4 linked regions of the Anolis sagrei genome follow. The protein of the gene in region 1 purifies or fractionates together with the protein of each later gene. This does not show direct contact. Links are inferred from orthologs where the notes say so. Each region holds a gene or a part of one and is shown in the gene's direction. Other genes may lie near its edges. The genes, in order: BCL7A, DPF2, SMARCD3 and PBRM1.

Region 1 (7,004 bases):
ACTGCCAACAATGAAGGATCAGGATCGCAATTTACACAGGCCACATGACCGACTTTACATCCTGGTGCGGTTTGGAAGAATTTGTTAATGGATGATGGGACTTGCAGTCACTTCATTCACTTCCTGAGACCACTGAGACCCTCGCCAATGACTGATCAAGACCAAACTTGGCACACAGAGTCCCCATGACCCACTCTACATCCTGGTGCACTTTCGAGGAGGACAGACCATGGATGATGGGACTTCAAGTACCTCCACTCCCTTCCCAAGATTGCTGCAACCCTCATCTAATGACCAATCTAGACCAAACTTGGCACACAGAGCCCCCATGACCCACTCTACATCCTGCTGCAGTTTTAGAGGAGGGTTGACCATGGATTATGGGACTTGCAGTACGTTTACTCACTTACTGAAACCACTGCTACCCTCATCCAATGACTGATCAAGACCAAACTTAGCACACAGAGCCCCCATGACCCACTCTACATCTTGGTGCAGTTTGGAGGACAGACCATGGATGATGGGACTTCAAGTACCCCCACTCCCTTCCCAAGATTGCTCAACCCTCATCTAATGACCAATCTAGACTAAACTTGGCACACAGAGCCCCCATGACCCACTCTACATCCTGCTGCAGTTTTGGAGGAGGGTTGACCTTGGATTATGGGACTTGCAGTACGTTTACTCACTTACTGAAACCACTACGACCCTAATCCAATGACTGATCAAGACCAAACTTAGCACACAGATCCCCCATGACCCACTCTACATCCTGCTGCAGTTTGAAGGAGGATGGACTTTGGATGATGGGACTTGCATTACCTTCACTCACTTAGTGAAAGCACTACCACCCTCATCTAATGACTGATAAAGACCAAACTTGGCACACAGAGCCCCCATGACCCACTCTATATCCTGCTGCTGTTTGGAGGAGGGTGGACCATGGATGATGGCACTTCAAGTACCTTCACTCACTTCCTGAAAACAATGCAGCCATTATCCAATTACCAATAAAGACCAAACTTGGCATACAGAACTGCCATTACCCACTTTCTCTAATAACCCGGGCAGCGCCGGGTCCCCAAGCTAGTATATAATAAAAGTCAAAGTTTGTATGCGGCGGAAGTGTGGCGGTGTATGTGCAGGCTTTTTGATTGGCCAGCCAGAAAGTTCCAAGATTCCGATTGGCCGCCAATGTGGTGCTATTTGCATATGGTCTCTGATTGGCCAGCTCCAACAGGAGCCCCTGGTGGAGAAAAGGGTTCATGGCAGAAACGGAGACATGAGAGAAGGAAATTTGCATATGGTCTCTGATTGGCTAGCCTCAATTCCAAGATTCCGAGATGACAAAGAGAGGAAAGGAAAAGGCCAGGGGCTCTGTCAGAAAATTACCAATACAGACCAAACTTGGCACACAGAGCCCGCAAGACCCACTCTACATCCTACTGCAGTTTGGAGGAGGATGAACCATGGATGATGGGACTTGCAGTACCATCACTCACATTCTGAGACCGCTGTTAACCTCATCCAATGACTGATCAGGACCAAACTTGGCACATAGACCTCTCATGACCCACTTTACGTCTTGGTGTGGTTTGGCTGGTAATGGACCATGGATTATGGGACTTGCAGTAACTTGGCTCAATTCTTGAGACCACTGCAACCCTCATCCAATTACCGATAAAGACCAAACTTGGCACACTGAGTCTCCATGACCCACTCTACATCCTGGTGCAGTTTGGAGGAGGATGCACCATGGACGATGGGGCTTGCAATACCTGCACTCCCTTCCTAAGACCATTACAACTGCCAACAATGATGGATCAGGACCACAATTTACACAGAGAGCCTGCATGACCCACTCTACATCCTGGTGCGGTTTGGAAGAATTTGATAATGGATGATGGGACTTGCAGTCACTTCACTCACTTCCTGAGACCACTGAGACCCTTGCCAATGACTGATCAAGACCAAACTTGGCACACAGAGTCCGCATAACCCACTCTACATCCTGGTGCACTTTCGAGGACAGACCATGGATGATGGGACTTCAAGTACCTCCACTCCCTTCCCAAGACGGCTGCAACCCTCATCTAATGTCCGATGAAGACCAAACTTGGGACACAGAGCCCCCATGACCCACTCTACATCCTGATGCTGTTTGGAGGAGGGCGGACGATGGATGATGGGACTTGCAGTACCTTCACTCACTTCCTGAAACCACAGCGACACTTATCCAAATACCAAGAAAGACCAAACTTGGCAGAGAGAGCCCCCATGGCCAACTCAACATTCTGGTGAGATTTGGGGGAGAACAGACTATGGCTGATGGGACTTGCAGTACCTAAACTCACTTTCTGAGACCACTGTGACCCTCACCCAATGATTGATCAAGAACAAAACTTGGCACACAGAGCCCCCACGACCCACTCTCCATTCTGGTGCAGTTTGGAGGAGGAAGGACCACAGATGATGGGACTTGCAGTACCTTCACTAACTTCCTGAGACCACTGCGAGCCATATAAATCACTGATAAATAAGCAACCTTGATACATAATTCCTTTCTCAAATTACCCGGGCAGTGCCGGGTCCCCAAACTAGTATATAATAAAAAAAGGAAAAAAAACACAAAAAAGTGGATGTGTCTCTTATTGGGACATGCCACATTATCACAGGATGTCTACGCTCTACACTGCTGGAGAAATCATACTGTTTAGATCAGGGGTCCTCAAACTTTTTAAACAGAGGGCCAGGTCATAGTCCCTCAAACTGTTGGAGGGCCGGATTATAATTTGGGAAAAAAACATTAATTAATTCCTATGCACACTGCACATAGCTTATTTGTAGTGCAAAACACACTTTAAAACAATACAATAATTAAAATGAAGAACAATTTTAACAAATATAAACTATCTCTGATGAGATGGGATTGTTGTTGCTGTGTGCTTTCAAGTAATTTCAGACTTAGGTTGACCCTGAGCGAGGGCCAGGTAAATGAACTTGGAGGGCCACATCCGGCCCCCGGGCCTTAGTTTGAGGACCCCTCGTTTAGATGGTATTGCACCACCTGACATCTGTCGGGAAGTAGCAGCCATGGGCATCTCTGGCCCATCCTGTTTGGATATCAGCCAGCACGCCAACGCTTTAAACCAAGAGACAGCTTCCTAAGATCTACAGAGATACTTGCAGGAACACCTCAGCAAGCGGGAATCCAAAAATGGCAAGCTAAAACCCAGAATCTCAATCAGTGGCTGAAACCAGATGAGAAACTCCCTCCTGGGCACACAGAACAGGCTGCGCTCTGGCGCTACGGGAGGCACAGCCAATCTTAAGAAATGGGGCTGCAAAGTGGAGTCCACAATATGCACGTGTGGAGAAGAGCAAACTGCTGACGACCTATTACATCGCAACCACATACACAATTGAGGACCTTCTCACAGTGACACGAGAGGCATTCCAAGTGGCCAGCTTCTGGTCAGAGGAAATCTGGTATAATGCCAAGCTTTTAACTTTCCTTGTATTTTTTAATACATTGTAACAGTATTCTCAACTGGCTTGTGACACATAAAATAGCGAATGGCATTGGGACTGCATGGCGTTTGGGGTCTCTTCGAAGAAGAAATGGAGGGCCTGGCGGGCTTTCCTTTTGGACACCAGCCCTATGGGAACTTGTGGTTGGGCTTGCGATGCTTTGGGACTGGTCTTCTCCTTTGTACAAATGGTGCTTTATGGACTGCAGAAAAGAAGGTGTTTTAGAAGGCGGTCGTTAAACGCCTCAAGTCCCCTCAGGCTTGGCTCTCCACTTTTGGAAAGGCTAGGCGTCAACAGACAACGAGCCTTTCCCAAGGTAGAGGGCCAACCCTGAGGGAACTCCATGCCCTCAGCGGCCAAATGGGCGGGAAGGCTGCCTCTCGCACAGGTCCCGCCCCCAACGGGCTCGGGAAGGCTACGTGCTCCGCGCTGGCGCCTGCGCAGTGCCGCCTCCGCGTGCTGCTCCTCCCTCCCTGCCTGCCTTCTTCCCTCGAGGCGGGCTGAGGCGGGGAGGAGCCTTCATTGTGCGTGAGGGGGCCAACCAGCCAGGCCGGACTTGTTCTCCCTCTGCTGCTGCTACCGCTGCCTCTTGTACCTCCTCAGCGAGGGAGGGAGCCGTCCATTCGGAGCCTGCCTCCCCCCCCCCCCGCGCCGCGTCCAACCCCCTTCGCCGCCTCAGCAGCATGTCGGGCCGGTCGGTGCGGGCCGAAACCCGCAGCCGCGCTAAGGATGATATCAAGCGGGTGATGGCCGCCATCGAGAAAGTCCGCAAATGGTGAGGGGAGCAGAGGGCACAGGGTAGTCCTTTTTGGGGGAGGAGTTCCTTTGGAGAATAAGGGAAGGGGGCAGCCCTTAGAACCCGCCCTCCCCCCTCCAAGTGCTGGCTTCCTTTGGGGCAGATAGGCTCGCTCTTCTCTCTCTCCCCCACTCCACCCCCGCTCTTCCTTCGCCTGCCTCTCCTCCAGCTCTTCCCTTCAGTTGCTTCTACCCCCCCCCCCAAACAGGCCCCGCCCCCTCCTGGGTCGCTTCCTAGTGCCCCACATCCCTTGGCCTTGTCTGCCCTCCCTTTCTCCCCTTCCCAATCTGCTCCAGTCTTCTTCAGACAACCCCCCTTCACAGCCAAGACTTGCCCCATAACCCCCAAGGCAAGACTTCTCCCCCCCTTCCCCTGCTAGGGGATCCATTCCTCCCCAGGTTCGGTTTCCCTCACCCCACTCCCAGCACTAGCCTTGGTCCTGTGCCCTCCTTGGCTCCTTTGGCCTCTTCCCCCCGCCACCCTGCCCATTCATTCTCCTACGCAGCCGCCTCTCTTATTGGCCCAAGGCCTTTGCTTTCCCTGCCCCCATGACCCCTTCACAGCTCAGCCCTGACTGACCCACCGACTTCTCATTCCCTCCCGCCCTAGATTTCTTTTCATACTCTCTTTCAAAAGAGCATTTGCTCTTTCAGAAGGATCCACATTAGAAGCTGTCTGTCGTTGCATGGCGTTGGTTTTTAGAAGTAGACCTATTCGAAAAGGCCAAAAAATGTGGCTATACAACAGCTCCTAACGTCCTGGTCAGTCCCCACCCCCCAAACCTGGCCAGTATTCCCCAAACCTGGCCAAGTTTGCCATGATGGATGTGTGTACCAAGTTTGGCCCAGATTCATCATCAGCTGGGTTTAGAGGAGTCTTTTGTTTGTGGCTGAACTATAACTCCCAACATCCAAGGACAATTCCCTCCCAACTTGTCAGGACTGAAATTTGGTCCTGTGGGGGTCTGCGTGCCAAATTTGGTCCAGATTTGTCGCTGGCAGGAGTCATGGGACTCTCTCTCAATGTGAGAGCCATCTTGAACACATAGATACAAGCATACATTCATACATACAAACATATTTTCACTTTTATTAGATAGATAGATAGATAGATAGATAGATAGATACTTCAGCCTGTGATGCACCCCAGGAGTGGTTTCATCCTCTCCCATTTTGTTCTGCTGGACCCTTCTTCAGACCAGCAGAGTATTCAAATCTCTGTTCTCCTCTGTCTGAACTCTTGTAGCCTTTTCTGTCCTATCCTGACTTTTTCTCCTGTTAGCCCCCCCCCCCCCCCAATAGCTAGCAATGAATCTGGTTTACATACAGAATTGGATCATTACTCCAGTTCAACTACTCTCCACCCTACTTTGATCAGTGAGATCTTTTTGAACTGGGGACTCCTTTTCTCCCTTCCCAATCTGCCCCTGATTGGGACTTCTCCAGGTGAAGCATGTACCTGAGTTACAGTCCCATCTAAGGATCTCCTGACTTCCTTTTCACCTTTTTCAGGGCCACTCTTCCCAGAGGGCACATCCCTCATTTCTGTGAATATTCATATTCTTAGGGGGGGGGGGGAAACCCTTCTCAATCTGCTTTTGAGTGGACTCTTGCCGCTCATGGGCTCATCTCTCATCCTCACCTTCCGGTGAACTTTTGCTGTTCTGGCTGCTTTTCTCTTTGTGCAGCCTCTTTCTGATCAGTCCTAAAGTGTCATTTGACTCCCAATTGGTTCCCTTTCCTTTTGTCTGAAGCGTGGAAGATCGGAGAATGTGCTTTGTGGCCTATATATCTTTATTTTCTTTCTCTCTCTCAAATCAGAAGGATTTGATATTAAATAGGCACAAAAATGGCAAATAGGATGGGCGTTTATGTGACAGGCTTACTTTGCTGCAAAAGAAACGTTTCATCTTTTCCTTCAAAACCTTTGTGCACTTTCAAGTGTGAAGGGTTAGCTTAAATCCGTTTCAGACACTTTTCAGAAGGGAGGCTTGAAAGAATAGTTTTTTCCTTTAAATGCCATATAAAGGGCAAAATATGTACATCCCCCAATATTTTAATTGGAATGGGTCAACCAGATGGATCTATTATAAAGGTTTATTTCACACAGTAAGTCAAATGTATGCTGGTATGTATTGTTTGATTTGTACAATTTAAATTCAGTGTTAGAAAGAGGTTGTAATTGCTGCTTGAATTTATTTGAAATTATATAATTGAAGGTTGTAACCTGGTAGAATCATCCCCTTTTGTTAAACCTTTACAGCATTTTAGCGTTTCATTCTTTTGCAGGGGGTTATTGTGTAGTTTCTATTGTGGAAGTCATTGTGGCATACTTAAAACAATGCAGCGAAATGGTTATTGAGAGACAATAGGCAATCATGGTGTCGTTTGGTATTTTTGGATCAGATGACATGATATGAATGTAATTAGAGAGTCTTATTTTGGTGAACTTGATTGTGTTTTTGTAATTTTAGCCTGTTTTGTGTTGGGCAAGTGAATAGCTCATACAGAGCCGGTGTCCTTCAATTTCATGTAGCTCAAGATTTTGTGTCTGATAAAACAGAGCCAGGTTTTGTTCATCTCTAGGTGTTTATGAATGGAATCCAGCAAATAGATTTATACTGCTCTTTTCATACTGGATGGTCTCTGTTTTAAAAGCTAGAAGGCTTGTTAGCAGT
Region 2 (6,975 bases), on another chromosome or scaffold:
GAGAAATTACACAGCTTAGCCGGTATTGCACCACCTGACATCCGCCGGGAAGTAGCAGCCAATAGTGAAAGGACCAAGGCAGAGACATCTCCAGCTCATCCCTTGTTTGGGTATCAGCCAGCACGTCAATGACTTAAATCAAGACATAGTTTTCTTAGATCTACAGAGACACTTGCTGGAACACCCCAGCAAGCGAGAGTCCAAAAGTGGCAGACCCAAACCCAGCACCTCAATCCATGGGTGATACCAGATGAACGACTCCCCCCTGGGCACTCAGAAGAGTGGGCGACTTGGAAGGCTCTGAACAGACTGTGCTCTGGCACCACGAGATGCAGAGCCAACCTTCAGAAATGGGGCCACAAAGTGGAATCCACGGCATGCGAGTGCGGAGAAGTGCAAACCACACACCACTTACTCCAATGCAGTCTGAGCCCCGCTACATGCACAATGGACAGGGGCGGCTCAACCCATTACACAAAGTAAGCATTTGCGGCATAGTTGATTTTGCACAGGGGCGCTCTTGGGGGAAAATAGACCTTGACATATGTGTTGTTACTGGGATGTATAGTTCACCTACAATCAAAGAGCATTCTGAACTCCACCAATGATGGAATTGAACCAAATATGGCACACAGAACTCCCACGATGAAAGGAAAATATATATCAGTGATTGGTTGGGGGGGGGGGGGGAATACTGTTTGCTTACCATTGAAAATTACCTAGGGCCACCTCTGACAATGGAGGACCTTCTTACAACTGAAGTCGAACGTGACCCCCCCCCCCACCCTCTCCCCAGAGATAGTAACTTATAGTTTTGCTAAGGGCAAGGACACCAGGCTGGATAACAAAGGTTAAGCCTTGGTCAGTTTGGTGGGTATCATTCAATCAAGGCTTTATGCTCTATTCTCATATGTTTACAGCAGGAGGTAACCCATTTATTACTGAAAATAATAAGAGTTGCAGAGATGCAGAGCCAATCTTAAGAAATGGGGCTATAGGGTGGAATCCTCGGCATGCGAGTGTGGAGAAGAGCAAACCACTGACCACCTGGCACCTTGAGCCCTGCCACATGCACCATGGAGGACCTTCTTGCGGCAACCCCAGAGGCACTCCAAGTGGCCAGATACTGGTCAAAGGACATTTAACCAACTACCAAGTTTGCAAAATCTGTGTTTTTTTTTCTTTTCTTTTTAATCTGTGTGTTTGTTTTGTTCTGTTAGAATTGTAATATAATGGTATAGTTGCTGATGACACGATAAATAAATAGCCCCAAAACAAAGAAAGACACCTGAGACACCTGTCGCACCTGAATAGCCATCCAGCCAGAGCTGGTAGACCTCCTCATCGATGAGAGTAGTGTTCCCCACGAAGATGTCCAGATTGCTGGCCATGTTGCCTCTGAAGATGGAACAGGAAGCTGCAAAAGGAAGGTAAAATATAATTCATTTACATCAGGCATGGGCAAACTTCATCCCTCCAGGTTTTTTGGACCTCAACTCCCACAATCAAAGGTTTCAAGCTCTGAGGATTTCCTGGAAAGGAATCTCTCTGGAGCACTGCAGTACACCCAAATACCTGGGAGTTACTCTGGACTGTACTCTGACTTATAAGAAGCACTGCTTGGTGGAGAGGTGGCTGCCAAGAGAGCAGAAATGGTCCACATTTACTAACGTTACACCGTTACGCTGTATTCCTGGCATTGGAGAGGGATTGGCTGGTGACTGCTGGAAGACCACTTGGGTTTTCTCGATGTTCAATGTCATTGGAGTTTATTTATTTATTTATTTATTTATTTGGTTTACTTTTACCCCGCCCTTCTCACCCCGAAGGGGACTCAGGGCGGCTTACACATCCAAGGCACAATTTGATGCCCATAGCATACATCAATAATAAGCAATAAAACAAAATAACAAATTAGCAAACAACAACAACAACAACACATTGCATCTAAACCCGTTAAAACCAATAAAACCAATAAAATTTCATACAAACCGATACAAACCGCTTCTTCCTTCTTGGCAGTCAGTGTTCGCTATCTCATGGTTCAGAGTTTTCTTCCACATTTATCAGTCCACATATATCAGTCCTGCCGGTCCTAATTGCCTGGTTGTCCTATCTAGTTAGCAGATTGCCCGAAGGCCTGGTCCCACAACCACGTCTTTGCCTTTCTCCTAAAGGACAGGAGTGATGTCGATGCCCTGATATCCACTGGGAGTGAGTTCCACAGGTGGGGGGCCACCACTGAGAAGGCCCTGCTCCTCGTCCCCACCAGCCTTGCTTGGGAAAGCGGTGGAGTCGAGAGCAGGGCCCCCTCAGATGATCTTAAATTCCGTGGTGGGACGTAGAGGGAGATACGTTCGGACAGATACGCTGGACCGGACCCGTACAGGGTTTTGTAGGTCAAGACCAGCACCTTGAATTGGGCTCGGAACTGAACCGGCAGCCAGTGGAGCTGACACAGCAGAGGGGTGGTGTGCTCTCTGTATGTCGCCCCAGTGAGCAGCCTGGCTGCCGCTCGCTGGACCAGTTGAAGTTTCCGAACCGTCTTCAAGGGCAACCCCACGTAGAGCGCGTTGCAGTAGTCTATTCGGGATGTAACAAGAGCGTGGACCACTGTGGCCAGATCAGACTTCCCAAGGAACGGGCGCAACTGGTGCACAAGTTTTAATTGTGCAAAAGCTCTCCCGGCCACCGCTGAGACCTGGGGTTCCAGGCTCAGCGATGAGTCCAGGATCACTCCCAAGCTGCGAACCTGCTTTTTCAGGGGGAGTGTAACCCCGTCTAACACAGGCTGTAACCCTATTCCCTGTTCGGCCTTACGACTGACCAATTACTTGCTAGGAAGTGCATCAAGGGGACGAGTATACACTGGGACAGGCATGGCATTATTGTTCATTCCTCAAAAGCAAGGTGGAACAGCCAAGTTTTCAAGCTTTTCCTAAAATATCACATGAAAGCTGTTCCTCTTTATTTTCCCATCTTTCCTTTAGTTGCTTTCCCTCATTCCTCCCTCCCTCCTTTTCTCATGTCTTCTTTCTCCTTCTTTCCTTCTCTCTTTCCATCATACAGAGAAGCCATTGAAATCCACAAGCATGAGGACAATTTCAACAGAAAGGAAGAGACCATGAAAATGAACAAAATCTGGCTACCAGTATTAAAAAAAACTCTAAAATTACAATAGCAAAACAACAGAGGGGAAACAAACAGGCACAGAAAATCACTCTCAACAAAAGATTCCCCCCAGGCACTTCCAAGCCATTGAATGCTAATCAAGCTGGCCAATTGCAACATTCACACCTAGCCCCAGCAGACAAGAGTCCTTTGTCCCACCCTGGTCATTCCACAGATATATAAACCCATTTTTCCTACTTCCAACAGACCTCATTACCTCTGAGGATGCTTGCTATAGATGCAGGCGAAATGTCAGGAGAAAATGCCTCTAGAACATGGCCTTATAGCCCGGAAAAACCTACAATAACCCAGTGATTCCGGCCATGAAAGCCTTCGACAATACATTCTGCCCCTCTCTCTCCTTACCTTTTCTCCTCTCAACCACAACCACCACCTTTCTCTGTAGTAAATAAGACCTTTTGACCCTCTTCCTGGCCAAACTGGGGCTCACGCATGCGCAGACCCCGAGTGTCACTCTCCAGGCGCCATCTTGGCTCCTGGCACTGCAACCTCTCCTCTTAAGATTCCACAGCCAACCGCATTCATAGCGAAACGCAGTCTTGTCTTTTTTTTGGTCGCTCAGGGCATCCGTCGAAGCCTCCTGTGGCGTAAAAAAAAATGAGATCATTCAACGCATGCGCACACAAACTACACCCCGTTCTCGGGATTGAACAGCATGAGCTGGGAACAGCGAAGGGTCATGCGCAGCCACGGAGCGCATGCGCCGTGCCGTGCGCGAGCATCCCTCATGAGAGCCCGAGCGGGCGGTTCGCGCAGGCGCAGTTGAGGCGGGCAAGATGGCGGCGGTGGTCCAGAATGTGGTGAAGCTGTGAGTGGAAATTTTCCTCTTGTGTTCCCCCCTCTTTTCCGTCAGGAGTGGTACAGCCCGAGCCTTTGCGAAGCGGGAGCAGAGGGCGGGCCCATTCCATTCGCAGGGGGGAAAGGGGAAATCTTTGTTGAGGGAGAAGGAGGAGAGTTGTTGGGTCTTTTTTCTTCTCATTGTTTGGCCCTAAAGTTTATGATACATATGAGCAGGATATAGTGGAGCCAGAGGAGAGAAACACAGGTGAGTCAGTGCCTTAAAGTTTCCAAAGTAAGGTTTGTGGAAGGGAAATAACACTTTTGTTACTTGAGGCGGGCCTGAGGGAAAAGGAGGCCTTCAGGAATGGAGGAAGGACAACTCCACCTCAATGAATGGTGTCCTGAGGTGGAAGGGATGTTGTTGGTGTATACTAAAGTGTGCATTGCCTGGGTTTGCTTTTTCTTTGAAGCTCTTTCTTTCCTTCCTTCTCTCTTTCCTTCATCTTTCCTTCTTCCTTCCTTCTTTTCCCATGTCTTCTTTCTCCTTCTTTCCTTCTCTCTTTCCTTCATACTCCTTCGCCCTCTCTCTTTCCCTGCCTTCCTTCAGTTGCTTTCCCTCATTCCTCCCTCTCCTTCCTTCCTTCCTTCTTTCCTCCCTCCCTCCCTCCTTCCCTCCCTCCTTCTTTTCTCATGTCTTCTTTCTCCTTTCCTTCTCCCTTTCCTTCATACTTCTCCCTCCCTCTTTCCCTTCCTTCCTTCAGTTGCTTTCCCTCATTCCTCCCTCCCCTCCCTCCCTCCCTTCCTTCCTTTTTCTCATGTCTTCTTTCTCTTTCTTTCCTTCATACTTCTTCTCCCTCTCTTTCCCTTACTTCCTTCAGTTGCTTTCCCTCATTCCTCCCTCTCCTTCCTTCCGTCATTCCTTCCTTTTTCTCATGTCTTCTTTCTCTTTCTTTCCTTCTCCCTTTCCTTGATACTTCTTCTCCCTCTCTTCCCTTCCTTCCTTCAGTTGCTTTCCCTCATTCCTCCCTCTCCCTCCTGCCTTCCTTCTTATGTCTTCTTTCTCTTTCTTTCCTTCTCTCTTTCCTTCATACTTCTCTCTCTTTCCCTTCCTTCCTTCAGTTGCTTTCCCTCATTCTTCCCTCGCCTTCCTTCCTTCCTTCTTTCCTCCCTCCCTCCTTCTTTTCTCATGTCTTCTTTCTCTTTCTTTCCTTCTCTCTTTCCTTCATACTTCTTCTCCCTCTCCTTCCTTCCTTCTTTTCTCAAGTCTTCTCTCTCTTTCTTCCCTCTCCCTTTCCTTCATACTCCTTCTCCCTCTCTCTTGTCCTTCCTTCCTTCAGTTGCTTTCCCTCAATCCTCCCTCTCCTTCCTTCCCTCCCTCCCTCCTTCTTTTCTCATGTCTTCTTTCTCCTTCTTTCCTTCCCTCTTTCCTTCATACTTCTTCTCCCTCTCTCTTTTCCCCACCTTTTCTTCAGTTGCTTTCCCTCATTCCTCCCTCTCCTTCCTTCCTTCCTTCCTTCCTTCTTTTCTCATGACTTCTTTCTCTTTCTTTCCTTCTCTCTTTCCTTCATACTTCTTCTCCCTCCCTTTCCCTTCCTTCAGTTGCTTTCCCTCATTCCTCCCTCTCCTTCCCTCCCTCCTTCTTTTCTCATGTCTTCTTTCTCTCTTTCCTTCATACTTCTTCTCCCTCCTTGCCTTCCTTCCTTCAGTTGCTTTCCCTCATTCCTCCGTCTTCTTCCTTCCCTCCTTCCTTCTTTTCCTTCTCTCTTTCCTTCATACCTCATACTCACTCTCTCTTTCCCATCTTTCCTTCATTTGCTTTTCCTCATTCCTCTCTCTTCCTTCCTTCCTTCTTTTCTCATGTCTTCTTTCTCCTTCTTTCTTTCTCTCTTTCCTTCATACTCCTTCTCCCTCTCTCTTTCCCTTCCTTCCTTCAGTTGCTTTCCCTCATTCTTCCCTCTACTTCCTTCCTTCCTTTCTTCTTTTCTCGTGTCTTCTTTCTCTTTCTTTCCTTCTCTCTTTCCTTCATACTCCTTCTCCCTCTCTTTCCATTCCTTCAGTTGCTTTTCCTCATTCTTCCCTCTCCTTCCTTCCTTCCTTCTCTCCCTCCTTCCCTCCATCCTTCTTTTCTCGTGTCTTCTTTCTCTTTCTTTCCTTCTCTCTTTCCTTCATACTCCTTCTCCCTCTCTTTCCCTTCCTTTAGTTGCTTTCCCTCATTCCTCCCTCTCCTTCCTTCCTTCCTTCCTTCCTTCCTTCCTTCCTTCCTTCCGTCTTTTCTCATGTCTTCTTTCTCTTTCTTTCCTTCTCTCTTTCCTTCATACTTCTTCTCCCTCTCTTTCCATTCTTTCCTTCAGTTGCTTTCCCTCAGCCTTCCCTCTTCTTCCTCCCTCCCTCCTTCTTTTCTCATGTCTTCTTTCTCCTTCTTTCCTTCTCTCTTTCATACTTCTTCTCCTCCCTCTTTCCCTTCCTTCAGTTGCTTTCCCTCTTTCCTCCCCTTCCTTCCCTCCTTCCTTCCTTCCTTCTTTTCTCATGTCTTCTTTCTCTTTCTTTCCTTCTCTCTTTCCTTCATACTTCTTCTCCCTCTCTTTCCCTTCCTTCCTTCATTTGCTTTCCCTCATTCCTCCCTCTCCTTCCTTCCTTCCTTCCTTCCTTCCTTCCTTCTTTTCTCATGCCTTCTTTCTCTTCCTTTCCTTCTCCCTTTCCTTCATACTCCTTCTCCCTCTCTCTTTCCCTTCATTCAGTTGGTTCCCTTCCTTCTTTCCTTCCTCCCTCCCTCTCCTTCCTTCCTTCCTTTCTCATGTCTTATTTCTCTTTCTTTCCACTCCCCTTCCTTCAGTAGCTTTCTTTCATACCTCCTTTTTCTTCCTTCCTTTCCTTTCTCATCCTTTTTCTTGACTTTTTCTTTTTCCTTCCCCCTTTCATACTTTCTCCCTCTTTCTTTTCCTTCCTTCTTTCAGTTGCTTTCCCTAATACCTCCTTTCTTCTCTCCTTCCTTCCTTTCTCATG
Region 3 (8,123 bases), on another chromosome or scaffold:
GATGGAGGAGGCGCACCAAGCCCACAGACCAAAAACCCTTCCTTCTGGTCCCTGTGGGAAGCAATGGCACTGCAAGGCATCTCCCTCAGGAGGTCACCTAGGTGATCTATGGGCAAGAAGCCCAAGGGCCGTGGTGCCCAGGGCCTCATTCTGGCTCTCCTTCCCGTTCAAGGAGAAGGGAGAAATGGACTGGATGTGGTAGGAGCAACTATCTTCTCCTGAGGAGTCCATGATGGAAAGGAGTTTCTTGAAAGTTCCTTGTGAATTGGTGGCACAATTTCAAACATCTCCAACAAGGAGGGAAAATAGGAAATGTTTACAGGAACCAGGACCCTGGAAATAGCCCCCACCCCATATGTAGAGAGAAAGCCAGAAAGGCCAAAGCGCAGAATGAATTCAGAGGAGGTTTTGGGGAGCAAAAGAAAGAAGGAGGAGGAAAGAGCGGGGCCACGGCCTGAACAAGAGGGTGGAAGGAAGGCCGGTGGGACAGACAAAAGGCCAAGTTGCTCCACAGGTTCTTTACCTTTTGGGAGAAGTCTGAGAGCAACGGTGCTCCACTTGGGGATGAGGGAGTCAATGAAGCAATGGGGGAAATGCAGCACAGAACAGGTAAAGGCAGGACAAGGATACCTGGCTAATCTCAATGAAACCTCTATCTCCAGGTGAGGTTGAACGCCATCCAAGAATATGGAAAGAACAGGCAGGAGTCATTTCAGGACTAGTGACCATCACCTTTGGGCATTCCCACAGGCTGGAGGAGGGCAGATGTGGCCCCCTCTTCAAAAGGGGCCCCCAAACAAGAACCGCCTAGTCAGCCTGGCATCAAGACCTACCAGGAAAGACTCTAGAACTATCTCTAAGCATTGCAAAGGGATGCCATGCGGACATTAGCACAGATTTCTCAAAAACAAGTCATGCTGGATGAATATCCTTTCTATATATATATATATATATATATAGAGAGAGAGAGAGAGAGAGAGAGAGAGAATGAATGAGTTGCTAGCTTGGTAGGCAAAGGGACTTACTGTGTCTTTCCACCTCTGCAGGGGAGGTGGGCCCACTAAAATGGTCTGCCCCAGGAGACTTATGGATCCAAATGGATTCCTGACGGCTTTTGGGGATTTTCCTGCCTCTTTGGTAAGTGACCCTATCAAGGCTCTAGTCTCTCTCTGGGACAGGGAGATGACCAGGGCAATAGACCCGATCGCTCCAAAATGCCCCCTCACCAATAACCAAGCTAAACCAGCTCCTTGGTTCACTGAGAAGCTGGCAGCGATGGAGTGAAAGAAGAGGAGGCTAGAGTGTGTGTGGCGGCGGAAGCATAGCAGATCAGCTCGAGCACGCCTGGGTTCCTTTTTAAGGACCTATGACGCGGCAGTAAAGGCTGCACAGAAAACATCTATCGTGGCCAATATTGCATCTGCTAAGAACCGTCCAGCTGAGCTGTTTTGAGTTGTCAGAGGACTATTAAATCCGCCTCAGAGTTTGATCCCCGACAACAAACATTTCTTGTGACCAATACTGTGTCCGCTAAGAACCATCCAGTGGAATTGTTCCAAGTTGTCAGAGAACTATTAAATCCACCTCAGAGCGAGATCCCTGACAACTTGGCAGATCGCTGTGAAGCATTTGCTCAGTTCTTTGCAGACAAAGTCACTCTGATCCATTCTGACTTCGATGCCACTTTAACGGCAGTCTCTGAAGATGTGACACGAGCACCTGCTTGTCCGGTTTTGATGGATTCTTTTCAATTGGTTCAGCTTGAGGACCTGGACAAGATCCTTGGAGTAGCGAAGCCTACCACATGCATCTGGGACCCCTGCCCATCCTGGCTGACAGAAGAGGCCAGAGGGGGTTTGGCAGAGTGGGTCAAGGTGGTGATTAATGCCTCCTTACAAGAGGGCAAGATTCTAGCCAGCATAAAAAAACAGGCTGTTATTAAACCACTGTTGAAAAAGCCATCACTGGACCCCACTCAATCGTCAACTTTCGGCCAGTTTCCAATCTTTCCTACTTGGGCAAAGTCATGGAACGTGTGGTGGCCTCGCTACTCCAGGGGTTCTTGGTAGGCACTTATTATCTAGATCCGGCACAGTCTGGCTTTAGGCCGGGACATGGGACTGAGACAGCCTTGGTCACTTTAGTAGATGATCTACGCCAGGAGCTCGACAGGGGGAGTGTGTCCCTGTTGGTTCTGCTGGACCTCTCAGCGGCCTTCGATACCATCGACCATGGTATCCTTTTGGGACGCCTCGTGGGAATGGGACTTGGAGGTACTACTCTGCAGTGGCTTCGGTCCTTCCTGGAGGGTCGGTCCCAGAAGGTGTTATTGGGTGACACCTGTTGGACTCCACAACTGTTGTCTTGTGGAGTCCCTCAGGGTTCAGTACTGTCCCCGATGTTCACCTACGTGAAGCCGCTGGGGGAGGTCATCCGGAGTTTCAGAGTAAGGTGTTATCTGTACGCAGATGACGTCCAACTCTGTCACTCCTTCCCACCTGTTACTATGAAGGCTGTCCAGACCTTGAACCGGTGGTTGGCCGCTGTGACGGTCTGGATGAGGGCTAACAAACTGAAAGTGAATCAAGGCAAGACAGAGGTCCTCCTGGTCAGTCGTAAGGCCATTGAACAGGGCATAGGGTTACAGCCTGTGCTAGGTGGGGTTACACCTGGTCAGTTTCGACTGACCAGGTTTGCAGCTTGGGAGTCCTCCTGGATTCATTGCTGAGCCTGGAACCCCAGGTCTCCGTGGTGGCCAGGAGAGCTTTGGCACAACTAAGACTTGTGCACCAGCTGCACCCATACCAACGTCCTCTGGGCAACGTCCTTGCAGGCAGCCAATTCTGTCACACCAGAAGCAACTTGCAGTTTCTCAAGTGGCTCCTGACAGAGAAAAGAAAAACCCGGCTGTTGGTCAAAGGGATCTCCTGAGAATCCTCCGTGGGGAAGGGGTCCAGTCCAGAAGGGGTCTGAGGAGAGCCCAAGCTGAGTGGGAGCCCCGAGTGTGACTCGGCGGCTGCCAAAGGAGCCCGAGCCCTTCTCCTGGGGTGCCCCCCCCCCCCCGTCCCCCGACTTCTCTCCTGCTTGGCTCCCTCCGGTCTCTCGCCTGGTCCCGCTCTGGGCAGCAACATCCTGGGAGACGGGCAGGGTGGAGGAGGTCCGGAGGGGGGGGGCCAAGAGGGACCACGCCGCCCCCCCTTCGGCCCCACCGACCCCGCTCTTCCCTTCGGGGCCGGGCCCGTCCTGCGGGGAAGGGGCTTCAGGCTTGGCTTCCGGCTTGGCTGCGGGACCCCCCCCCCCGTCTTGGAGCCCTATGCTGGGGGGGGGGGAGGCGGGAGGGGTATGTGAAGGTTCTTCCCTCCCTTCTCGTGGGAGGCGGCGCGTGTCCCGGAGCCTCCGTTTCCAAACACGGGAGAGCGGAAGCCCCTCCTCCGTCCCTCCCTCCCCCCTCCGTCCCTCCCGCCGTCCGCTTGACTGACCTTCACGGGAGAGACAAGAGAAGTCTCTGCGCATGCGCCCTCCCCTCCTTCCCTCCCTCAGAGGAGGTAGCTATTCGGGAGGGGGGCAAGGGGGTGGAGTCGGGCGAGGAGACAACCCCCCCCCGCGCCAAGGGGGCCGCGGAGGAGGGGTCTTTTCCCCAGGAGGGGGCCTTTCCCTCCTCCCCTCCCCTCCCCTCCCTGCTTCCTTCCCGCGCGAAGTCTCTCCGCAGCCCCCGCCCTCCAAAGGGGCGTACGCCCCTCCCTCTTTCCCTCCCTCCCTCCTTCTCGAGCCTCCCTTGGGTACCACGCCCCTCCCGTTACCTGGCAACGCCGCCTCTGTTGCCAGGGAGACCAGCGCCGGAGATGCCGGTCACCGCGGCGCCGGGAAGGACGGCAAGTGCGCCCCCCCCTCGTTGCGGCGGGAAGGGAAAGGGGGGGGGTAATCGGATCCCATGCCTTTCCTCTCGGGGTGGGGGGGAAGAGTCGGGTCTGGCTCCTCTGGAGGGAGGGAGAGAGGGAGGGGGCGTCGAGGGGTGGGGGCGGGGCTCTCGGGGGGGGGCTGACCCGGGAGAGGAGGCCGGAAGCGGCGGAGGAAGGGAGAGAGGGAGGGAGGGAGGGAGGGCGCGGCGTCCGAGGGGGGGGGGGGGGGAGAGAGAGAGAGAGAAGGGGAGGGGCGGGGAGGAGCCTTTGTGCGGCCGGGAGGGGAAGAGGCCCCTTCCTTCCTTCCTTCCTCCCTTCCTTCTTTCCTCCCCTCCTCTTCCCTCCCTCCCCCCCTTCCCGGTCCGGCTCGGGGTCTGAACTCGGGGGGTGTCCTCCCGAGGGTCCGCTCCTCCCCCTCCCCTTCCCTCCCTCTCCCCCTTTTCCCTTCCCCTCCCCCCCTCTCTCTCTCTGTGTGTCTGTCGGCGCCTGCTTCCTTCTTTCCTCCCCTCCCTCCCTTCCCGGTCCGGGGTCTGAGCGTGGGGGGGGGGGTGTCCTCCCGAGGGTCCGCCCCTCCCTCCCCTCCCTCTCCCCCTTTCCCTCCCCCTCCCCTCCTCTCTCTCTCTTTCTGTGTCTGTCGGCGCCTGCTTCCTTCTTTCCTCCCCTCCCTCCCTCCCTCCCTCCCCCCCTTCCCGGTCCGGGGTCTGAGCGTGGGGGGGGGGGTGTCCTCCCGAGGGTCCGCTCCTCCCCCTCCCCTCCCTCCCCCCTTCCCCTCCTCTCTCTCTCTCTCTCTCTCTCTGTCTTGGGCGGAGGAATTTGGGCCGCAGCTGGTGCCTCTGCTCCGCCGCCTGGGGCCGTCCCTCGCGGCGCCCCGTGCGGACCCCTCCCCTCTTTCCCTCCTTCCCTCCTCCCGCCCTCCCCCTCCTCCCCTCCGCCCTCCCCCTGGGCCTCTCTCTCTCTCTCTCTCGACCGGCGGAAGGCAGGAAGGCGGGAGAGGCCGGAGGAAGAAGGAGAAGGAGGCCGGGGCGGCGGCGGCGGGGAAGGGAAGGGAAGGGGAGGGGAGGCAAGGCGGGCGGAGAAAGCAGGCCCCTCCCTCTCTCCCTCCTTCCTTCCCTCCCGCCTTCCCTCGCCCCCCCCCCCCTATTCCCTGGTCGCCGCTCTCTCTCTCTCCTCTCCCGCCCCTCCTCGCCCAGCCGGACCCATGGCCGCGGAGGAAGTGACCGGCGGGGCGCGGAAGGCCACCAAGAGCAAACTTTTCGAGTTCCTGGTCCATGGGGTGGTGAGTGAGGGGGGGAGGGGGACAGGAGGGAGGGAAGGAGGGAGGGGAGAGGCTGGCCCGCCCCGCCCCCCCCCCCCCACACGTGCCTTGCCCCGAACAGGTGCCCCGCCGAGGGGGGTCGCCCCGTCCCCCTCCCCGCCTGGGAGATGCCTTTGCGGGGAGGAGGGGGGGGGCTTCAGATTCCTCTGGATCTTCGAGAGGGGGGGGGGGGCTTGGCCTCCTGGATAGAGCAGGGCAAAGTGTGTGAGGAGGGGGCTTCTCGGCAGCCGGCCCAGGAGGACCCTCGGAAACTTTTGCCTGGAGTCTGTTCACTGGGAAGAGGAAATGCCCGGCGCCCCCCCCCCCCCTCAGGTCTCCGCAGGTGCCCCTCCCTCCCTCCGTCCCAGAGCAGCTGCGGGGGCTTTTCTGGGCAGCTGTTTCTTTGGGATGCAGCCCAAGCCTGGGGGGTACAGCTGAGGGGTGGGGGCGTGGGAGTGTGTGTCTGTGGGGAACACAAGAGAAGCCAAGCTCAGTTTTGGGGATATGCAAGGGGGAGTCATGAGGACTCCAGGGGGGTACAGCTGAGGGGGGTAGGAGTGTGTGTCTGTGGGGAATCCAAGCTCAGTTTTGGGGACAGGCGGGGGGGGGGGGGTCATGAAGACCCCAGCCCCGCCCCCTTCTGTCAGGGAGAAGGCTCCTTCCACCCAACCCCCCCCCCCCTAGGGTTGCCCTCTTCTGGACCCCCCTCCTCCTCCTCCCACAGGTGAGGTCCAGTGAAGTAGCAAAGGGTCAGCCAGGCCCTTCAGGGGGCAGCAGGGCCAGTCCAGGAGGAGGTGGAGGAAGGGGGGGGGTCGGCAACTCCCAAAGAAGGGGCCCCTTCTCTCCTTTTGCTGTCCATGTGTCACTCAAGAGGGGGCTCCTTTGCTTGCAGGGTGGGGTGGGGGGCCATGGAGGGTACGGTCCAGCCTCCTTCAAGAGTTTGGCCAGAGCTGCAAGTCCCCCCAAAACATCTTCTGTGAAAAGATGGAAGTGTCCCTCTAAAATATGAATCTGGAGCAGAAGTGGAGGCTCCTCCTATGGAGGCTTTGAAACAGAGGCTGGGTGGCCATCTCTCGGGAGTGCTTTGAACGTGATTGTCCTGCTTCTTGGCAGAAGGGGGTTGGACTGGATGATGGCCCACCAGGTCTCTTCCAACTATGATTCTTGGGGCGGAAGCCCACTGGAGGCAGCGGCCAAGAAGGGCCACTTCTGCCAAGACTAGAGCAAGCAGGGCTTGGTCAACAGGTGACCTGGCAGTGTCCAGAGAGGTGGACGGTGGGCAGCCAAGGCCAGGTAGAGCACTGGAGACCTTCTGAATCGTGGGCCTGAGCTGCAGGCAGAAGGGATCTTGGTGTGCAAGGGGCTCTGCTGGGGGCATCTCTCTCTCACTGGGGCAGGCCCCACAGGTTCAGCCCCAGGGAGAGCTTAGAGAAGCATCAAATGGGGTGGGTGGGTGATGCAGCCCCTTCAAAACTGGGCCAGGAGGCACTGAGGCCAGAGAGGGCTGGAAGGACCCCTGAAGACCTGACGGGGCAGGTGGTGCCCCCTCCCTGCCTCTCAGAAGCAGCCCCATTGCAGAGAAGGAGGGGGGGGCAAAGAAGAGTGGGGCACAATGCCAGTGGGGACGGTCCAACTTTGACCACCTGCCTCTCTGGGGCTGTCCAGAGATCCCTGTTGAGACCTATTGTGGCCCCTGGGTCCCTCTCTCCTGGCTCCTCCTCTCTGGGGCCACACCAGTCGCCCCTCCTCAATGTGGAACCCTCCCTAGTCTGAGAGTGGAGGGGGGCATTATTTGGGGAGGGGAGGGGAGGCTCACCCGAGGTCCTCTTCCTTCTCTGGATCTCCTTTGGGGCCAAAGTGCTTGTGTCCAGTTTGGGCCAAGTGGCTCCTCTTTCTCTTTTGAGGGGAGGGAAATGGAGGCAAAATAGGAGCTCAGGTGACCCCCCCTCCCCCCCACACACACTCAAACACAATCTGCACCCCACTGAAGGCTCCTCTGTGGGGGCTGGGGCCATTCTGGGCCCCTCTTTCCCCTGTTGAGTGGTCCTTTTCAGGAAAAGTTCAACTTCCTTCTTTGGGGAGGGGGGAAATGCAGGTAGTCCCCAAGTTACAAACATTTCTGAGGGTTTGTTCTTAAGTTGAATTTGCTTGTCAGTCAGAACGGGGACATTTTAAAGTGTAATTCCAGTCACACATACACAAACACATATATATTATAGGAGCCCTCAGTGGTGCAGTGAGTTAGACCGCTGAGCTGCTGAACTTGCTGATCAAAAGGTTGGCAATTAGAATCCAGGGAGCAGGGGAAGCTTCCACTGTTAGCCCCAGCTTCTGCCAACCTAGCAGTGTGAAAACATGCAGATGTGAGTAGACCAATAGGTACCGCTCCTTCTGGCAGGAAGTAAACAGCTCCCCATGCAATCATGCCAGTGGCCACTTGACCTTGGAGGCGTCTGCGGACAATGCCGGCTCTTCTGCTTAGAAATGGAGATGAGTACCAGAGTCCCAGAGTTGGACACGTCAAGAGGAAACCTTTATCTAGATAGATAGTAAGCCTGGTCAATCCATGGTTCTAAATGGTTCTAAAGTACTTACAAAACTAAAGTTCTGGTGGTGAAAATTTCAGAACTCTAACAAAATTCTCAAAATTTCATTATAAATGGCAGTTCCTAGATGGTTCTATCCTAAAAATCACCAATAATGAAATAATAATTACATTTTGAAAGTTTTGTTAGAGTTCTGAAATTTTCACCACCAGAACTTTAAGTTTTGTAAGTACTTTAGAACCATTTAGAACCATAGATTGACCAGGCCTAATAGATAGATAGGTAGATAGATAGGTAGATAGATAGATAGATAGATAGACAGAATAATAGATTCAAAGAGTTGGAAGGGATCTGGTGGGTCACCCAGTCCACCCCCATTCTGCC
Region 4 (8,070 bases), on another chromosome or scaffold:
GAAAAACACTGAATGATTATACTGCATATCTGAAATGAGGTATGGGCAGTTTCCCCAGATGGGACACTACTGGGGTATCCACGTGAAACTCATTTTATAATATAATAAACAATTATTACATAATAACAAGTCTTGTGAATTCAAAAAAGCTGCAAATTCCAAATGTTTGAACTAAAAATCACTTTTTATCTCCCTTTCTCTACTGAAGTGAAACAAATCTCTGGAACATGTATCAAACCTCAGGGAAAAAAGTTACATAATCTTACCTTTCTCAGTTCCTGGCAAAAGTGTTTCTTTGAATTTTTAGCAATCTGCTGGTTTGACTTCAATTTTTGTTTTTTCTTTGATTTCTAAGATACACGGGGATATAAGAAAATTTTTAATTCCAGAACTTATAACCAAAATGATGCAAGTAACAGAAACTTATCCATATAACAATTTGTAGATACTTTTTAGTCCAATAAAAACCCAACTTTTACAATGAAAAAAAGATTTTAAAACTGACATCCAACACCATTATATTCAAGTAAAGAAAACATATTCAGTGACAACTCATCTTTGAATTTCTATCTGTAGCAACACATGTTGTCAAAGCAAACTTTTAACATACCTCTCCTGTGCTATCATCCCAGTCAGATTCAAGCACTGATATAGAAATACATACCTTTTCACCTCGCATTACTTCACCACCATCCTTTTTATTTTTTTGCTGTGTACGTTTCTTTTCCAGCTCTTTCTGCCGATCAAGTTTTTGCTTCTGTTTCAGTTCTTCACGCTGTTCACAAAACACACACACAAAATTATATTCAGAAAGGCTTTCCCTCCACACTCAGCAAGGCATTAGCAATAACAGAGTACTTAGAATTTATTGCTATGTAATATTGCTGGCATCATACAACAGGAACTAAGGAAAATAAATTTTTTTTAGCCAGTCAGCGAAAAAACTGGAAACTTTGGGAGAAGTAGAAAAATAACTCTAATGGCATTAGAGATAGGAAAACATGATGCACAAGAATTGTCAATATCAACCTATTTCTAGCTTTTCCTGGACTGTGCTTGAAATTGTATGAGAGCAAAATGTATGCATTTACAATTACAGTTGAACTGATACTACAACAAAAATGCAACACTCAATCTAAATTAATCAGATTTTGCTGTTAAAACTCAAAACTAATTCGACATAATAAAAATATTTAAGAGGTGAAAGTTGCCAATATTTCCTAGATCAGAAGTCTGCAAACTGTGTGTTGTCACATCTTAGTGTGTCGGCTGCAGTGTGTAGGTGTGTCATGCGAATGTAGAATTTTAAAAATTCTTCCACATATTTATGTATTGCTACTCATAAATGACAAAAATCTTATAAATGTATGTTATTATCTTACAAATCCTATATTTACAAAAATCTAAATGAAAGGTTATCATATGTTGCACCCATATCTCTTATAAGGGGTTGGTTTAACCTCTGGTTTAGTAGTAAAACTGCATTAATGTGTTGCAAAATGATGCACGTCTAAAAAGATGTGTCACCAACATGAAATGTTTGGAAAGCTCTGTTCAAGATGATTCCTAACACAACTCCTGATAAGAAAAGAGGTTCGTTCTGAATAGAGATGGGAAGGCCTGGAAAAAACCTGGAATAATTGGGGGGGGGGGGGGGGTTGAATGTTTTTCCCCCAATTTTTCTCATTTTTTCCAGGTTTTCCCATCTCTATTCCTAACACAACTCCTAATAGGATAAGAGATCCATTAATGGTACAGCCTCTGTTGTTTTACCCTTTGTTTCCTTTGTTCAGCTTCTCGAAGAACTTCTTCCTTAAAAGGTGCAGAATTGGGAATTCCTAGGTCTTTCTTTGGTTTTCTATGGCCACGCTTCTTGGCTTCCTTCTTGAGTTTCCTCTTGTGTTCTCGTACCTATCAACAATAACAACAAAATATTTCTATTTTTTTTAAAGAAGCTTTATTGACAACCCACAATCAAAATATCACAATTTCTTTCTCAGGACTTTTCAATTTTTCCAGTAGAAAATGTGGAATTTCTGGGAAATAACAACTATAACTTTTATGGCTCAGAATGGCGAAACTAATTTATGGCAATATTTTAAATACCAGGAATGTAGGCATTATCTTGGGCATGCATTATACAAATGTTATTGTAGTTGCTGTGTGCTCCTTCAAGTCATTTCTGACTTATGGAGATCCTCAAGCAAAGTTATCATAGGGTTTTCTCGATATGTTGCTTCAGCGGAGGTCTGCTCTTGCCTTCCTGAGACTGAGAGAGTGTGACTTGTCCACAGTCATCCAGCCGGTTTCGATGGCGGCACTCCCCCCCCCCCCCGGTTTTTCCTGGAGAAACAGTAATTAATGCAATATTGATCTTGCAGGTGGGGAAGATGGCTGGAGCCACGTCGTTTTCACTCTCTGATCTTCTGAGTAGCACAATTAGAGAGGAATACTGCCTAGTCACTCTTATCTTAGGGGGAGTTTTGAACTTAACCAGCAATTCTATTAATCAACACTGAAGAAAAAAAAGAAGAGGGGTGAGAAAATCAAGTTGATCTGCTTAGCTTTTTAATGATTCTGGAGCTGAAGCAACATTTACCCAAACATTTACCCACTGTCGTTGCGGATTCAGCAAAACACTACTCTACTACTGTTATTCTACTAGAAGGTGGTTGTTATCATTTCCTCTCCCTGTTGGCACTGGTTGAATCAATAATTCATAGATCTCACCACATTAGACAGAGCAAGTACCAAATAGACTATTTATACTACAATGGAGACAAGAGATGATGGTGATAAAGTAGAATCTAACTCTGTTCTCCCTTAATGAAAGTGCTGCTAACTGGTCCATTGACCCATGTCTAATGGAAGTGACTCCCTAACCAGCACTGAAAAAACAATTGTCTTTATAAAGAAATTATAAAGAAATCTCTTCATAAAGAAATTAAAAACATTCTTAAAGAGAGTTCTGGCAGACTTCATCCAGCAGCTAAAGAGAACCTTGAACCGACATTGCATGACCTCATGTGAGGCCAATGCTTCCTAGTAGAGCAGATAGCATAAAATTATTTCAAAGAATGGATATACTACAAAGGGAAAGTTTCTGGCCTAAAAACTATCATTGGAGCTTTGGTTGGTCTGGTATTCTGACTGCAGCAATAGTTCACACCTACCTTTTTCTGTATTTTAAAACGTTTGTGGCAGGTCATGCGCTTACTAGCTTTCTTCAGCTCTGAAAAACAAAACATAAATGTATTAAAAGTCATAGGGAGGAGTGAGGAAGCTTGTTTTCTGCTGCCCTGGAGACTAGGACACAGAAAAATGGCTTCAAACTACAAGAAAAGAGATTCCACCTTAACATGAGGAAGAACTTCCTAACTGTGAGAGCTGTTCAGCAGTGGAACTCTCTGCCCCAGACTGTGATGGAGGCTCCTTCTTTGAAGGCTTTTAAACAGAGGCTGGATGGCCATCTATCGGGTGTGCTTTGAATACAAATTTCCTGTTTCTTGGCAGGGGGTTGGACTGAATGGCCCACGAGGTCTCTTCCAACTCTATGATTCTATCCAGAGTTATTTTTATCAGTAAGAACTATTACTTCTTACCCACCCCAGTTAAAAGTGGTGTGCAGATGTTTTAAATAAAAATGACATCTAGAGGCAGTAGATTTTCAGCTTTCAATCTCAACAAACACATCCAACTGCAGGCTTTAACACTAGATCAGGAATTTCAGGCCTAGGTATTATACTAGATCAGGTTCCTTCCAAATCACTCATGGAAACTGGCTGTTATTAATATCAATATGCTACATTTATTTATTTATTTAAAGTATTTATATTTCGCCCTTCTCACCCTGAAGGGGTCTCAGGGCAGATCACAGAACACATATACAGCAAACATTCAATGTCGATTATATAGTGACAAGATAGACAACAGATAGAGGTCTATATAGGCTTTCCCATCTTTTGGCATCTTTGGAGGCTGTGCTCGCTCCATCTCCTTGCCGAAGAGCTTTCTTTGTTCATAAACTTCCTCCTTTTTCTGACTGGAATGACTTGACTTTCCCACTTTAATGCAGTTCCTATTTATCTATTCACATTTGTTTTCGAACTGTTAGGTAGGCAGAAGCTGGGCTAAAGGTCAGGGGCTCACCCTGACCCGGGCTTCGAACTGCCAATCTTCCGTTTGGCAGGATTTATTGCAGCTTGGTGATTAACCTACTGTACTAAAGCCCGGCCCAACTTTTGACTAGATATGTTTTTTTTTTAACATGAGAAGCTTCCAGATGGAAGAGTGTGTCAATAAATGAGGAATTAATCTGCTCAAAGTTGCATGACAAAGTTTCTTGTCTTTCTTACTGTATATCCATTTAACTAATGAAGGCATTTAAGGAGCCCCCGGTGCCGCAATGGGTTAAACCCTTGTGCCCGCAGGACTCAAGACCAATAGGTCGGAGGTCTGAATCTGGGGAGAGCGTGGATGAGCTCCCTCTGTCAGCTCCAGCTCCCCTTGTGGGGAAATGAGAAGGCTCCCACAAGTCGAAGGGTGCATTTGGATCAGGCCTGGGCCAACTTGGGCCCTCCAGGTGTTTTGGACTTCAACTCCCACAATTCCTAACAGCCTACCGGGTGTTAGGAATTGTGGGAGTTGAAGTCCAAAACACCTGGAGGGCCCAAGTTGGCCCAGGCCTGATTCAGATCCTTCTCTCATCTCCTTCCTCGGTGCCGCTGTGAAGGAGAGGTGGAGAGAGAGAGAGAAAAGAAAGAACCCTCCCCAAAGTGCTCCTGACAAAAGCCCTGGCTAAAGCATTCCTTACTGGGCCGCCTCATGATGGCTGCTGCTGCGTCTCCTTCCGCCTGCCTTCCTCTCCACGTGCGACAAAAAAACGGGAAGACCTTCGCGCCTGCGCAGTTGCGGCTACCATAAAGCACGCTCCGCTCCTCCTTCTTTCCCCCTCCCCCCTTTTGTTCCTGGCTGTCGCACGCCCAGCCTCGCTTGGCGGCCGAGCTTCTCTTTCACGACAGCGGCAGGCTCGCCTGGGAGCGGGCGGAGAGCAGCAACAGTGGCGACGCCGAGGGCCCGGGGGGCCGGGGGGGCCGAGCGCGGCCGCGGCTGCAGGAGGCCCAGGCTCAGCGGCAACGCCAGCAGCGCCGCCCCCGCCGCCGCCGCCGCCGGAGGAGGGACCGGAGTAGCCGCGGGCTGGGTAAGCGCCGAGGGCGAGGGGCCGGGCTTGGCTTGGCTCAGGCAGGCAGGAAGGAAGGAGGCCGCGGCAGGCGCCCTTTGTGTGAGAAGAGCCCTCCTCTCCCTCCCTCTCTCTCCCAAAACGATGGGCACCAGATGGTCTTGGAGGTTCTGACATTTTCCCAGAATATTTGCGAATCATAACGTCATCATAACAATAACAAATGTGGTTTCTTACCTCCCTCTCCATAAGGCTAAGTCAAACATAGAGAAAGTACATACATAAAACCTGAGGTCATTCACTAGAAATGTTGCACGTTCATAACAAAATAATAATCATAGTTAATATGTTTCTGACCCCCTTCTCAAGGCTAGGTAAACCATAGTTAAAATATATACTGTACAGTTATGCGCGAACCAATTGTACAGGTGTGAATGATTATGGAGGGAATTAATCTCAGGCCTCAGTTGTGTATAAGAATATATTATAGAGGAGGCCAATTATTACTTGTAAATTAAGGTAACTGCCGCCAACGTGAGGTATTTGAGGTACCACCAATGAGATCTGGCTTTACAGACGCAGATTAATTGAGACGAGACGGTCTTCAACAAAAGATAACAAGTTTATTGTGTACAAAGCGTATGGTTGCAGGCTGTTAAATAACTTATAGAACTTTGAATATCACTTTGTTTGTAATACAGTCCACTCTTCCAAATAACACAGCTGGTGGCTTTTACTGAGGTGAAGCTCTTTAGTGAACAATGTTTCCTACTATGAATAGCCTTCCAATTTGATCTTTCCTTGATCAAATCTCTGATCTCTAGTCCTTCCTTGACTAGGGATCTTAACAAGCTTCCTTTAGTCTTCCTTGACTAAAGAAATTGGCCAGGTTTCTCTCTTCAGCCCTTCTAGACTGAAAAACCTCCAGCTGCTCACACATACCTCTCTCCCAGGCTTTTCAAGCCTCCACACTCACTCACACACTGCCCCTTTTTCTGCTTGGCTCCGCCCACTTCTCACTCTCCTGAGCTAGCCTGCCTGGTCTCCTTAGCAACGCTCACTGTGGATTCAAACCAGATAACTCTAGTTTTAGCTACTGTTGCAAACACAAATATATACTCTAACAGTTAAACACATACATAGTATCAATGACTTCTGCACAATACGTAAGACATGAGATCAAAATAAGACTGAGTATTCTTCACTAGAAAAGCTGAACATAACAAAATATTATTAATATTATTAATAATTATTATATTCCTTACCCACTTCTGAAGTTGAGGCAAACCATAGTTAAAATACATACATAAGACATGGGATCAAAATAAAGCAGAGTATCCTTCACTAAAAAAGCTTAACATCCATAACAAAATAATATTAATATTATTAATTATTATTAATTATTATTATTTCTTACACACTTCTCAAGGTGAGGTAAATCATAGTTAAAATACATACATAGGACATGGGATCAAAATAAGACTGAGTATCATTCACTAGAAAAGCTGAACATCCATAACTAAATATTATTAACATTATTAATAATTATTATGTTCCTTACCCACTTCTCAAGGTGAGGTAAACCACAGTTAAAATACATAAATAAAACATGAGAGCAAAATAAGACTGAGTATGCTTTACTAGAAAAGCTTAACATCATAACAAAATATTATTAATATTATTAATAATTATTATTATTTCTTACGCACTTCTCAAGGTGAGGTAAATCATAGTTAAAATACATACATAAGACATGGGATCAAAATAAGACTGATTATCCTTCACTAGAAAAGCTGAACATTCATAACAAAATATTATTAATTAATATTATTATTAATTATTATGTTCCTTACCCACTTCTCAAGGCGAGGTAAGCCATAGTTAAAATACATACATAAGACATGAGATCAAAATAGGACTGAGTATACTTCACTAAAAAAGCTGAACATCCATAACAAAATATTATTAATATTATTAGCAATTATTATGTTTCTTACCAACTTCTCAAGGCGAGGTACGCCATAATTAAAATACATACATGAAACATGAGATAATTAAAGGTTGAATATCTCTCACTAGAAACATTGCACCGAGATTGTGGCGCAGCTGGCTGAGTGTCAGCTGCATTAAGATCACTTTGACCAAAAGGTCATGAGTTCGAAGCCAACCCCAGGCTGGAGTGGGTGTCCAGCCATTGTGTAGCCTGTTGTTGACCTTTGCAACCCGAAAGACAGTTGCATCTGTCAAGTAGGAAAATAAGCTACCACCTTGTGTGGGAGGCTAAATTAACTAATTTATGAGGCCATAAAGAAAACTCAGGGATGTGGAATGCAGAAGAACTTCATCGGTGTCGCTGATGGACGATGAAAGCAGCAGCTCCCCTGGCGGCCAGAAAAAAGTTAAATAGCCTCTGTATATTGTCTGTATTTGTTGTCTGTCAAACTGGCATTGAATGTTTGCCATATATGTGTACACTGTAATCCGCCCTGAGTCCCCTGCGGGGTGAGAAGGGTGGAATATAAAAACTGTAAATAAATAAATAAAATAAAATTGCATGCTCATAACAAAACAATAATAATAATAATGGGTTGCTGTAAGTTTTCTGAACTGTATGGCCATGTTCCAGAGACATTCTTTCCTGATGTTTCGCCCACATCTATGGCAGGCATCCTTATTATTATGTTTCTTACCCATTTCAGGTGAGGTAAACCATAGTTAAAATAGATAAATGAAACATGACATCAAAATAAGACAGTGCCCTTCACTAGAAAAGCTGAATATTCAGAACAAATTATTATTAATTATAATTATTATGTTTCTTACCCACTACTCAAGGTGAGATAAACCATAGTTAAAATACATACATGAAACTTGAGATTATTAAAGACTGG

Evidence for each region.
Region 2: the proteins of BCL7A (region 1) and DPF2 purify together in Homo sapiens (affinity purification with mass spectrometry; 3 studies listed by BioGRID and IntAct, counting the BioPlex papers as one, with this or other methods). This does not show direct contact. The link is inferred for Anolis sagrei from reciprocal best matches to the Homo sapiens genes BCL7A and DPF2.
Region 3: the proteins of BCL7A (region 1) and SMARCD3 purify together in Homo sapiens (affinity purification with mass spectrometry; 4 studies listed by BioGRID and IntAct, counting the BioPlex papers as one, with this or other methods). This does not show direct contact. The link is inferred for Anolis sagrei from reciprocal best matches to the Homo sapiens genes BCL7A and SMARCD3.
Region 4: the proteins of BCL7A (region 1) and PBRM1 purify together in Homo sapiens (affinity purification with mass spectrometry; 3 studies listed by BioGRID and IntAct, counting the BioPlex papers as one, with this or other methods). This does not show direct contact. The link is inferred for Anolis sagrei from reciprocal best matches to the Homo sapiens genes BCL7A and PBRM1.

The regions. Positions count from the first base shown.
Region 1 is NC_090034.1:32,155,504-32,162,507, reverse strand, and holds the start of BCL7A (B-cell CLL/lymphoma 7 protein family member A), read left to right. Parts: upstream 1-4,002; 5' UTR 4,003-4,214; coding exon 4,215-4,306; intron 4,307-7,004.
Region 2 is NC_090032.1:10,258,445-10,265,419, reverse strand, and holds the start of DPF2 (zinc finger protein ubi-d4), read left to right. Parts: upstream 1-3,940; 5' UTR 3,941-3,968; coding exon 3,969-4,000; intron 4,001-4,013; exon of another isoform or gene 4,014-4,237; intron 4,238-6,975. Other genes in the region: FIBP (acidic fibroblast growth factor intracellular-binding protein), read right to left, coding at 1,307-1,417, 3,538-3,799. UniProt on the Homo sapiens protein: Plays an active role in transcriptional regulation by binding modified histones H3 and H4. Is a negative regulator of myeloid differentiation of hematopoietic progenitor cells. Might also have a role in the development and maturation of lymphoid cells.
Region 3 is NC_090026.1:134,051,568-134,059,690, forward strand, and holds the start of SMARCD3 (SWI/SNF-related matrix-associated actin-dependent regulator of chromatin subfamily D member 3), read left to right. Parts: upstream 1-5,037; 5' UTR 5,038-5,097; coding exon 5,098-5,175; intron 5,176-8,123. UniProt on the Homo sapiens protein: Involved in transcriptional activation and repression of select genes by chromatin remodeling (alteration of DNA-nucleosome topology).
Region 4 is NC_090022.1:68,112,583-68,120,652, forward strand, and holds the start of PBRM1 (protein polybromo-1), read left to right. Parts: upstream 1-5,021; 5' UTR 5,022-5,200; intron 5,201-8,070. Other genes in the region: GNL3 (guanine nucleotide-binding protein-like 3), read right to left, coding at 267-350, 665-775, 1,774-1,911, 3,174-3,232, 4,814-4,826. UniProt on the Homo sapiens protein: Involved in transcriptional activation and repression of select genes by chromatin remodeling (alteration of DNA-nucleosome topology). Required for the stability of the SWI/SNF chromatin remodeling complex SWI/SNF-B (PBAF).